3 linked regions of the Lonchura striata genome follow. The protein of the gene in region 3 purifies or fractionates together with the protein of the main gene of each other region. This does not show direct contact. Links are inferred from orthologs where the notes say so. Each region holds a gene or a part of one and is shown on either strand. Other genes may lie near its edges.

Region 1 (3,746 bases), on a different chromosome or scaffold from region 3:
ATCCAAGATTTTTTAACTTAAAGCACTGGGATTAAGTAGCCTTGGCACAGCACTAAGGGCAGGGAGAGAAAAGCTCTTTGCTACTTAAGTTGCTTTTAAAAGTCCATTTCCACCTCGCCAGGATACATTTAAAAAAATATCCTGAATCTCACACCTTTGTCAGTTGATTTTCACAAGGCCAGAGGAGTCAGAGCAGGAATTTTAACCCAGCAGCTCCTTTTGCAAAATCAGGCCCAATTTCTTCTCTGCTGTTAAATGAACAGCACCAAAAGGTGCAAAATTAAAAAGGTAGAAATTCCAGGCAGGAACTGAGTTCCTACAAAAACCTGGAGCTGGGCAGAGCCATCAACTGCAGGCTTAAAATCCTACCAATTTTCATGGATATGATGAACCAAGTGCATTCCCCATTTCTGTCCCCTGGCAGCCCTGGGGGAGGTCACAGCACACATGGGAAGGAAAAAAAAGAGAGGAGGCTTTTTCCTTCCGGCTGAAATCTTTGGGATAAAAGGATAAAATCCACTTCCTAAAAGCCAAAGAGCTGCTGTGAATCAGCTCCATGAGATCCAGGGGTGAAAGCAGAGCAGCAAATTCTGGAGCAGGAACTCTGAGGGAGCTGAGGAGAGGGAAGAGTGCTGACAGGACAGGTGAGGAGAGCACACAAAGATTCAGGGAACAAAAAACTGCAAGAGCAGAGGCAAAGCAGAAACCAAGGGCAGGAAACAACACAGGGAAGAACATGGAAGAGCAGTGGCAGCAGAAAATCAATTCCTCAGGAGCCAGGAGAGGGGAAACACAGAACACTGAGAGGATGAACCTGTGTGCAGCCCTGCCCTGACTGCAATTCCAGCTGCTAACAGGGTTAATTAACCCAAATCCTCATTTCTCTACCATCCTTGGGCAGCTCTGAGGTGCAGGATGCCCAGGGAACTCAGCAGCTCTCAGGGCACCCTTTGATGCCCCAAACTCAGGTGCCCTGTGGATCAGTTTGGTGCTGAGAGGCATTTCCAGGAGCTGGGGTTGAAGCAGGAATGTTCCCCATGGATTTGTGGTGGGGTCCTGCAGGGAAAAGCAGCTGCAGAATGTTTTCCCAGCACAGCTGATCTCCCTGCAGCTCTCCCCCAGCAAACGCTGGGTGTGAGTTCTCAGGGCCTCAGGGAGAGACAAGCAGCAGAGTCACACCTGGATCCAGCAGGATTTGGGATAATCCCACTCAAAAGACTGATGTTGGATCAGCAGTTTGGCAAGGAGCTGTCCTGATAAACTGGGAGCCTTTTTCTGAATCCAGGCAAAGCTCAGGAGGAAAGAATTCACACCCTGGAGGTGCTGTCCTTGCTGCAGCTCTGAGGAGACTCCCCTGAGAGCTGACCCTGCAAGTGATGGACCCCAAACCCACCTGAGAGCTGACAGACCCCAAACACACCTGAGAGCTGACAAACTCCAAACCCACCCCAGAGCTGACCCTGCAGGTGACAGACCCCAAAACCAACTCAGGACTGACCCTGCAGGTGACAAACCCATCCCACAACTGACCCCACAAGTGATGGACCCCAAACCCACCCCAGAGCTGACCCTGGAAGTGACAGACCCCAGACTCACCTCAGGACTGACCCCATGAGTGACAAAGCTCAATCCCATTCAGAGCTGACTCTGCAAGTGATGGACCCCAAACTCACCTCAGAGCTGACCCTGAAGGTGACAAACACACCCCACAACTGACCCCACAGGTGACAGACCCCAAACCCATTCAGAACTGACCCTGTAGGTGACAGACCCCAAACTCACCTCAGCACTGACCCCATGAGTGACAAACCCCAAACCCAACCTAGAGCTGACCCTGACGGTGACAAAGCCCAAGGCCAGCCTGGACTGTCCCCACAAGTAACAAAGCCCAAACTCACCTCAAAACTGTCCCCACAGGTGACAAAGCCCAAGGCCAGCCCGGGCTGTCCCCATGTGCAGGCAAGGCTGCTGTACCCCATAGTTTGTGCCCCCTCACTCTGCTCGGTGCCCCTCACTCTGCTCGGTGCCAGCCGGGCTCTCTGTGCCCCTCACTCTGCTCGGTGCCAGCCGGGCCCTCTGTGCCGTGCCCCCGGGCGCTCTCCCGTCCCCACTCCCCTCCGAGGAGTGCCGGTCCCAGCTCTGCCCCCGGCCCCCCCAGGCCTCCCGCGGCGCCGGGGCCGGCCCCTCCCGCTCCTCACCGCGACCAACCGGGGCAATTCATTCATTTCCGCGCTGCCCCGGCCCGGAGCTTCTCCGGCTTCCCGCGCACCGCCGACCCCTTCAGAACCCCGCGGGCCCTCCCCTCCTCTCCCCGCTGCCGCCGCCGTTCCCCGCTCCCCGGTGCCGCCGCTCTCCCCGCCGGGCCCGCGCCCGCCCCCCCCCCGCTTTCCCGGCGCTAGGCCGCGGCGGCGCGGGAGGCGCCTCACCGGTGTGGGGGTGGCTGCGGGGGCCCGGCGCGGTGCGGGGCGCGGCGGGGGCGGGCCGGGAGCGGCGGGGGCGGGCCGGGGCCGGCGGGGCGGCGGCGGCAGCGCGGGACGGGGCGGCGGAGCGGCCTCTACTCGCGGCGGCGCAGGGCGGCCATGGCGTGACGTCATCCGCGCGCGACGCGCCCCGCCGGCGCGAGGCGAGGGGGGGGGCGCGCGCGCGCCTCTCCTCCCCCCCCCCCCCCCGTCTTAAAGGGGCCGCGCACGGCAAGGGCGGAGCGCAGGTGTGTGAGCGCGCGCACAGGTGCGAGGTCCCCCGCGTGCCCAGGTGTGCCCCAGGTGTGCCCCAGGTGTCCCCAGGTGTGCCCCAGGTGGCGGCCACGCGCGTGCCGCGGGACCGGGGAATGCTCAGGGTTGGAAGGCAGCTCTGGCAAGGGAACGTGTCCAGGTGGGTTTGGGATGTCTCCAGAGAGGAGAGCCCACATCGCTGGGCAGCTGTGCCAGCTGTGCCCCCTCCACGGACACCAGTGGGAACTGACACAGGGAACATCTCTGTACAGGGATGGACACCAGTGGGAACTGACACTCGGGAACATCTCTGTGATGGACGGACACCAGTGGGAACTGACACAGGGAACATCTCTGTGCATGGCTGGACACCAGTGGGAACATCTCTGTGATGGATGGACACCAGTGGGAACTGACACACGGGAACATCTCTGTGATGGATGGACACCAGTGGGAACTGACACAGGGAACATCTCTGTGATGGATGGACACCAGTGGGAACTGACACTCGGGAACATCTCTGTGATGGATGGACACCAGTGGGAACTGACACAGGGAACATCTCTGCAGGGATGGACACCAGTGGGAACTGACACAGGGAACATCTCTGTGATGGACGGACACCAGTGGGAACTGACACAGGGAACATCTCTGTGATGGATGGACACCAGTGGGAACTGACACAGGGAACATCTCTGCAGGGATGGACACCAGTGGGAACTGCCACTCGGGAATATCTCTGTGCACGGATGGACACCAGTGGGAACTGCCACTCGGGAACATCTCTGTGATGGATGGACACCAGTGGGAACTGCCACAGGGAAACATCTCTGCAGGGATGGACACCAGTGGGAACTGCCACTCGGGAACATCTCTGTGATGGATGGACACCAGTGGGAACTGCCACTCGGGAATATCTCTGTGCACGGATGGACACCAGTGGGAACTGCCACTCGGGAACATCTCTGTTTCCCGGCGGGGTGGGCGGGCAGGGGGCGCGGCCGGGGTGGAGCCTGTGCCGCAGGTACATCAGGG
Region 2 (3,746 bases), on a different chromosome or scaffold from region 3:
AACAGACCCCAAATTAGGGAATTGAAAAGTAACAAAAGACAACATCAAATCCTAAAAAATTATTTAGAATAGCTTTTTTGTGTGTTTTTTTGTGGTTTTCTTTCTTTGTTTTTTTTTTTTTTTTTTTGGGGGGGGGGGGTTTGTTTGTTTATTTGGGGTTTTTTGGTTGGTTTTTTTTCTGAACAGAGAAGCAGCTTACCTGGATAACTTTTTTATTTGGTGCATTTGCTGACTGTTCCAGAGTTTTGGCTTTCTTCTTTTCCTTTCTTTTTTCCTTATCAGCAAAAGTCCCACGCATTTTAGAGATTATATCAGAGTCTGTTTTTGCATACTGAATACGCTTTTTAAAAGAAAAAAATAAAAAAAATAAAAACAGAGTATATTCTGCAGTCACTAATACTGAACAGTTTGCACCACGTACATTAACTCTGTATTTACACCCTTTTTGTTTTTGCAGAAACCTTTTATATTAAAAACATTGTTATAAAATGTAGGTACACTTATGAAGTAAACAATTCTCAGTTTTTTCTGAACACAAATACAGAAGTCTAAAAAAAAACCCTAATATGGAAATTATTAACTTTAGTTCATTGAAATTGGAACTCCATTTATCTAACATCTTTTTAACATCTGCCAAGGTAGCACCTACAGGGAGATTCATTTGAGCTACACAGAGGACATCTGAGAAAATCAGAACTAGCTTCTATTAAAACTGCCAGTTTTCAGTCCCATTTTAAAGGGAGTTAAAATTTGACAGTGATTTCCAAGATCTCTGCAGAAATGTAAATTCAGCAAAACCCAAACTTCTCAAACAGAAAAGGCAAGTATCTTACAAAAACAACTTACCATTGGTTTCCCATAAAATGGAAAGCCTTGTAGCTGTCTCAAAGCATTGGTGGATGATCCAAGTTCTTTAAATATAACAAATGCCTGTCCTCTCATCTTCATGGTCTTTAAAGCCACAATGTCGACCACATGACCGAACTGTGAGAACAACGCGTACAGGGACCTCTTCAGCTCTGGGCACCAGGGAGAAAACAGATTACAGCAGGTCACAGGCAAATCCCCACTTCTACCAAGACTGCTGTCCTTTGGGAGCAGTGTTTTTTACAAGCTGTAGCTCACACAGTGAGTGCACGAGTTTGTCAAAACTGTTGCATCATTACAAATTTATTTGCCCAGGTTTTGTAAACTGGTGTGCAGCATTTGGTTTCATACCTCAAGGATTTACGTACTGAAGAAGTTATAATGCCATCCATTCTGCCATTCCAAGGGAGGAACAATTACATAAAGGGATGTAAAAACGTATTTTCATACAGGTATATGCACACACACTCAAGCATGATGAATGACAGCCATCTCAGACTGATTAGAAAATCAAAATTGAAACAAGCAGCAGTAGAGACATGATGTAAAACAAGAATGCAGCAGAACAGTAACTACCTAAAGGCTAATTAAAGTTGGACATTTAATCAATTTTCTCACTCACATGAAGTATTTTTTCGTATTCTGGATCCAAATTATTTTTGTATGAGACTACTGCAGCTTACACTGGATTTACTTCAATTATCTACAATAACCTGAACACATGCCAAATTAAACCTTAACACTATCCAAATCAAGGTAAATAAATAATCTGTATTGTGTAATCATTCAAACACAAAAACCTTACATTTGAACTATTGCACCTCTCCCGTGAGGAAAGGCTGAGAGATTTGGGGTTGTTCAGCCTGGAAAAGAGAAGTCTTAGGAGTGATCTAACTTTGGCCTTTCAGTACCTGAAGGGAGCCTACAAGATGGAAAAGGACTATTTACAAGGGTTTGGAGCAACAGGACAAGGGGGAATGGCTTCAAACTGAGAGGAGGCTTAGATGTGATATTGGGAAAATAGCCTTTACTGTCAGGGTGGTGAGGTGTTGGAACAGGTTTCCCAGAGAGCACTCCCCATCCCTAAAAGCATTCAAGACTGGGCTGTAGGGAGACCTCAGCAACCTGATCTAGTGGGAAGTGCAATTATTTGCTTTGCTGCTGTTTCATTACAACAAGGCGTTTGCCTAGAGCTCAGCTCACGACCAACTCCTGCTCAGCAATTCAGAGACGTCGGGGAGCTCCTAAAATCCCTTTTGTAAGACAAGTGCCGTGTTGGACAACCAGAGGCGACCGGCAGCCACTCGTACCTTCCTTCTTGATCTTGTCATTGATGTTGTTGATGTAGATGGTGTGGTTCGGCCTGATGTCCATTCTCAGCAGCACCTGCGGGCAGAGCACACGGGAGAGGCGTCAGAGAATTCCGGGCAGCGGCACCTCATATCCCCGAGGAGCTGCACCTCACATCCCCGGGGAGCTGCACCTCAGAGCCCCGGGGAGCGGCACCGCGAGTGGGGGGGCAGCGTGTCCGTCCGTACGTCCGCCCCGACCCGGCTCTTTCCGTGCTGAAGACGGCTGCGACACTGCAAGACGGGAACTGCAGAGAGGGAACCCCGATCCAGGCCCTCCCTGCACCCCCCCGGCCCCCGGCCCTGAGCGCCCCTCACCGCGGCGCTCCCGCTCGATGGCGGCCGGCGCGTCCCGCCCTCAGGCGCGTCCCGCCCGCCGGCACGCAGCGCAGGCCGCAGAGCCGATCGCGGAGCCGCCGATGGCCGATCGCGGAGCCGCCGATGGCCGATCGCCGAGAGCGCCGATGGGGAGCGGCGGCGTTAGGGAGGAAAGGGGATAAAAGCCTGATGGGATAAAAAGGGATAAAAGGTTGTTTTCGGCTGAAATGGGCGTTTCTTGCCCCAGGTTTGGCTCTGTCCTGTTCTAATAGAGAAATAAGCGAAAATAAGTGTGGTTTGGGTTTTTTTTTGTTTGTTTTTTTGTTGGGTTTTTTTTTTTTTTTAGTTTTTTTCATCTTTTTTTTTTTTTTTTTTTTTTTTTGCTTGGTTTTGGTTTTGTCAGGTTCAATTTGCTTTTTCGTGGTTTTTTTTTTTGTTTTTTTTTTTTTTTTTTTTTTTTTTTGTTTTTTTTTTTTTTTCTTCTTTTGTCTCTTTGCAGCGCCCAGAGCAGCAGCTTGGGAAAGCATGGAATGGTTTGGGTTGGAAGAACCTTAAAGGTCATCTAGTAAAACCAACCTGCCATGGACATGGACAGCTTCCACTAGACTGTGAATAATGCCTATTTTAGGATTGGCTTTTCATAAATATTAATTTGAATAATGTATTATATGTGAATAATATATATATATAACATTATATATAATTATATATAATAGTATAATAATTTATATACTAATATAATATATATTAATTTATATACTAATATAATATATATTAATTTATAATTATATAATATATTAATATATTAATATATGTAACAGTATATATAATAATATAATAATATATTTATAATAGATATAAAATATTACTTTGAATGCTATATTATGGTATACTATACTATATATATGTTATATTGATTAGAAGTGCTGTATTTACATTTTAATAGTATGGTAAATGTAGTTTTGTAGTTAAAATAGAAACTATGTATGTGGGGGTTTTTTTTTAAGAGAACGTGATACTCACTTTGAGAGAACAATCACAGAACACCCAAATCTTCCAGAAAAGAGGAATTCATGGTTCTCTTTTCTAATTTCTTCAGGCCTTGCTCAGACTTGAAGACACTGTGGGGATAAGAAGAAGCAGGTGACACATTCCAGACAGAGTTTCCTATTTTAAATAGAATGTATGCATAAACATGAAGTCTGCCTGAAT
Region 3 (3,746 bases):
CCCTTGGAAGATCATTCTCTCTCTCACACGACCAGAGTTTCTCCCTCAGTAGCTCACAACCAGCTGAACACACACAAGTTAGATGCAACTGTCACCCTAATTGTGCCTTTAATGTGAATATTAAAAATTCACACTCACAAGTGTTCGCCAGCCACATCTGTCTGCACTCAAAGGTCATTTCCACCACTGGCTGAAGTTTACAGTTATGAAGCATGAAGTTTACAAGTTACTTACTACATCCATTTTATCTGCTCTATTAACAAGTTCTCAAGACTAATTTCAGTTCTAGAGTGATCATATGATGAAAAAAAGCAGGTAAACATCAGCCTGTGCAGGGATTGACCAGCCCAGAGTGCTGCATTTAGGAGTCCCAGTCCAAGTAAAATCCCCTCCTCCCACCCAAAGCACGAGCCAGTGATTTCAGGGCAGCTGGAGAAAATTCCCAGCTGCCACAGGGTGTTCCTCTTCATATTCTCTGGATAACTCCCAGTCTCATTTACACATTCCAGCTCCTCCAAAAGAGGAGCTCTCTGCAATCCCAAAGGATAAACACAGCCCCATATGCTCAGAAGCAGCCAACGCTCCTTGGCAGCACTTTCAAGATGAGTAACACAATAAGGGTTGGACTGGAGCAGCATTTAGTAATTCTCTGGAACCAAAACCAACCACATTTTAGCACCAAAACACAGCCATGACTCCTGTACCAGGGCTCCCTTTGCACCTGATATTTGGTTTCCCCTTCAGATCATTCAGAACAGGCCCGGTCACCTAGTTATTGCAGCACTCACTGCACATTTGAACAAGGACTTTATTTATTTACTACCAGTTTCTCTAGCAAAGGGTGTCTTACACCCTCTCCTGAAGAGACTTCTTTTTCAGTCTCACTGGTACAACCTCAATCCTTGAAATCCTTCACGCAAAACCACAAAACTGGGACCTGCTTCAGCTTCTAGAGCTGCACTGAACAGCAGAAGCATGAAAATCCCAGGAAAGAGACACCACCAGTGCCACTTACCTGGCTACAAAGCTGGCAGTCTTGTCCACAATATTCCTGACCTCTGGAGGAGGGTAAATAATTCCCACCACAGGCTTGGCTGGTGCTGCTTCCTCTTTAGGCTCCTCTTCTGGCTGTAATGAAGACAGTTTCATTGCAAAAGGTGAAGGGGAGTCAGGATTAGGCATCCCAAACAATGGCACACAGGAACCTTTATCCATCCTCCTCCTCAGCCTCTCAGCCACTGAACTGCTTGAACAATCTGGATCATCCATCCCACCAACTCCTTGGACTCTCAGGGGCACCTGCTGCAGGGGCAGAGACAGCAGGACAAGGAAGGTGCCCCCATGGGAACCAAAACAATTTTCACTGTATCAGCCTTGACCCCAAGTATGTTTTTAAATGCTGAGCCAAGAGGCTCCAGTAACATTTCCAGGAATAATTCATCATTCCTCAGCAGCTGTGGAAGTTCTGCATCTTCCTAGGGGCCTGTGGGACCTGAATTATTAACTCCACATTAAATAAAACACAGCTTTTAATGCCATTGTAGCTGCAACAGAAGGTGTTTTGAAGAGAAAATCTCCAAGAGTGTTTTTCTCACTGATGTTACAGGAGGATCTGTATTCCAGTAAAACCATAAGATGCTTTTGCAGGATACTAAAGATGCTGCTTCTCTTTCCTCACCAAGCAGCTTCCAAGAAAAGGTGTTATAAACTGGGACAGATCTGCTGGAAATGTTTATAATCCTAACAGGGCTACAGTCAGGGATAATTTAAAATCCAGGTAGAGCTCCCAGCTCTGTCAAATCCACAGAAAATCCAAGCCAGAAAATGTTCTGAAGTCAAACTGGTCCCTGGCAGTGCCCAAGGCCACGTGGGACAATGGAAGGTGTCCCAGCCCTGGCAGGGGGTGGGATGAGATGGGCTTTAAGGTCCCTTCCAAAACAAACCATCCCATAAAACACAACCTTAACAAGGTGTGTTAAGAAAAAGGCACCATGAACATTTCTAGGTTTTATTCCCACTCCCTCAGAACATCATCTTGAGGAGCTGAAGGATGGGGCAACACTACACTAGCGATATTTAACAATGCTGCTATGTTGCCTTGGTAACAACTGTGCATAAAAGCCACTGGGTTTTTCTGGGGGGGAATCACAATTTTCCAAGGTTCTCAGCGAGATCAGCTCCCTGTCAGCCCCAAGAGTGTTGATGTTCCTGTGTGAGAGTCAGGACAGCAGCTTCAGCTCTGTGGGAGCTGGATTCTCATCTCAGGAATGCATGAGGAATGAACATTCCCATCTCAGGAAGGCTGCAAAGAACATGAAAATGGCCAAGAGAGAAAGGCTCTGGGAGATTACAGGGACACACAGCACTGCCACACTCCCTCAGGCTTTTAATCCCTCCACACATCATTCCTGGAGCCAGGATAGCTCCCACAGCTCCTGGCAACCCCCCCCCCAACTCACTGGAACCACAGCCCTAGGGCACTGCCAGGGAAGGGCTCAGCTCCTGCCCAGCCCCAGCTGGATCCTGCTGTCTCCAAGGAATCCTGGAATGGTTTGGGCTGGAAGGCAACCTTAAAGTTCATCTCATTTCACCCCAGCCCATGGGCAGGGACACCTCCCACTAGCCCAGGCTCCTGGCCTTGGGCACTGCCAGGGATCCAGGGGCAGCCACAGCTGCTCTGGGCACCCTGTGCCAGGGCCTCACCACCCTCCCAGGGAACAATTCCTAATTCCCAATATCCCATCCAGCCCTGCTTTCTGGCAGTGGGAGCCATTCCCTGTCTCCTGTCCCTCCATCCCTTGTCCCCAGTCCCTCTCCAGCTCTCCTGGAGCCCCTTTAGGCCCTGGAAGGGCTCTGAGCTCTCCCTGGAGCCTTCTCCTCTCCAGGTGAGCACCCCCAGCTCTCCCAGCCTGCCTCCAGAGCAGAGGACCTCCAGCCCTTGCAGCATCTCTGGTGCCTCCTCTGGACTCTCTCCAAAGCTCCAGGTCCCTCCTGTGCCTGCCCAGGGCTGGGGCAGCTCTGCAGGTGGGCTCTCACCCGAGCGCGGCACAGGGGTCAACACCGCGCACCGGACGAAGCCGCAGCTCCCCCAAGCCCAGCCCGGCCCGGCCCGTGAGGGCCACACTGCCAGAGCCCTGAGCTCCGCGCCATTCCCCGCTCCCCTCCCCTCCGCTCCGCACCGGCTTGCTCTCGGCGGGGGGCGCGGGCTGCGCCGGAGGCACCGCCTGCACGGGTCCGGCGGGCATGGCGCTGCCGGGGCCGGGGGCTCCGCGCCGGGCGGGGCCGATGGAGGCGCTGCCGGGGGCTCTGTGCGGAGCGGACGCGGCTCTGTGCGGAGCGGACGCGGCTCTGTGCGGAGCGGGCCCGGCTCTGTCCGGAGCGGGCCCGGCTCTGTGCGGAGCGGACGCGGCTCTGTGCGGAGCGGACGCGGCTCTGTCCGGAGCGGACGCGGCTCTGTCCGGAGCGGACGCGGCTCTGTGCGGAGCGGGCCCGGCTCTGTGCGGAGCGGACGCGGCTCTGTGCGGAGCGGGCCCGGCTCTGTCCGGAGCGGACGCGGCTCTGTGCGGAGCGGGCCCGGCTCTGTGCGGAGCGGGCCCGGCTCTGTGCGGAGCGGACGCGGCGCCGGCTCCGACTGGGGCGAAATGGCGGCGGCGGGCGCTGTGCCGCGCGTGCGCGCCAGAAGTGACGCACCGGGAGCGCAGGCGCAGATGGCCGGGATGTGGGCGGGGATAGGGCGCTGCGGGATG

What was found.
Region 1: the proteins of SF3A1 (region 3) and ZC3H18 purify together in Homo sapiens (affinity purification with mass spectrometry; 3 studies listed by BioGRID and IntAct, with this or other methods). This does not show direct contact. The link is inferred for Lonchura striata from reciprocal best matches to the Homo sapiens genes SF3A1 and ZC3H18.
Region 2: the proteins of SF3A1 (region 3) and SNRPB2 purify together in Homo sapiens (affinity purification with mass spectrometry; 5 studies listed by BioGRID and IntAct, with this or other methods). This does not show direct contact. The link is inferred for Lonchura striata from reciprocal best matches to the Homo sapiens genes SF3A1 and SNRPB2.

The regions. Positions count from the first base shown.
Region 1 is NC_134615.1:22,359,713-22,363,458, reverse strand, and holds the start of ZC3H18 (zinc finger CCCH domain-containing protein 18), read right to left. Parts: upstream 2,470-3,746; 5' UTR 2,427-2,469; intron 1-2,426.
Region 2 is NC_134605.1:3,353,464-3,357,209, forward strand, and holds the start of SNRPB2 (U2 small nuclear ribonucleoprotein B''), read right to left. Parts: upstream 2,602-3,746; 5' UTR 2,535-2,601; intron 2,254-2,534; 5' UTR 2,242-2,253; coding exon 2,178-2,241; intron 1,020-2,177; coding exon 847-1,019; intron 341-846; coding exon 200-340; intron 1-199. UniProt on the Homo sapiens protein: Involved in pre-mRNA splicing as component of the spliceosome. Associated with sn-RNP U2, where it contributes to the binding of stem loop IV of U2 snRNA.
Region 3 is NC_134620.1:2,640,997-2,644,742, reverse strand, and holds the start of SF3A1 (splicing factor 3A subunit 1), read right to left. Parts: upstream 2,528-3,746; 5' UTR 1,270-2,527; coding exon 1,016-1,269; intron 1-1,015. UniProt on the Homo sapiens protein: Component of the 17S U2 SnRNP complex of the spliceosome, a large ribonucleoprotein complex that removes introns from transcribed pre-mRNAs.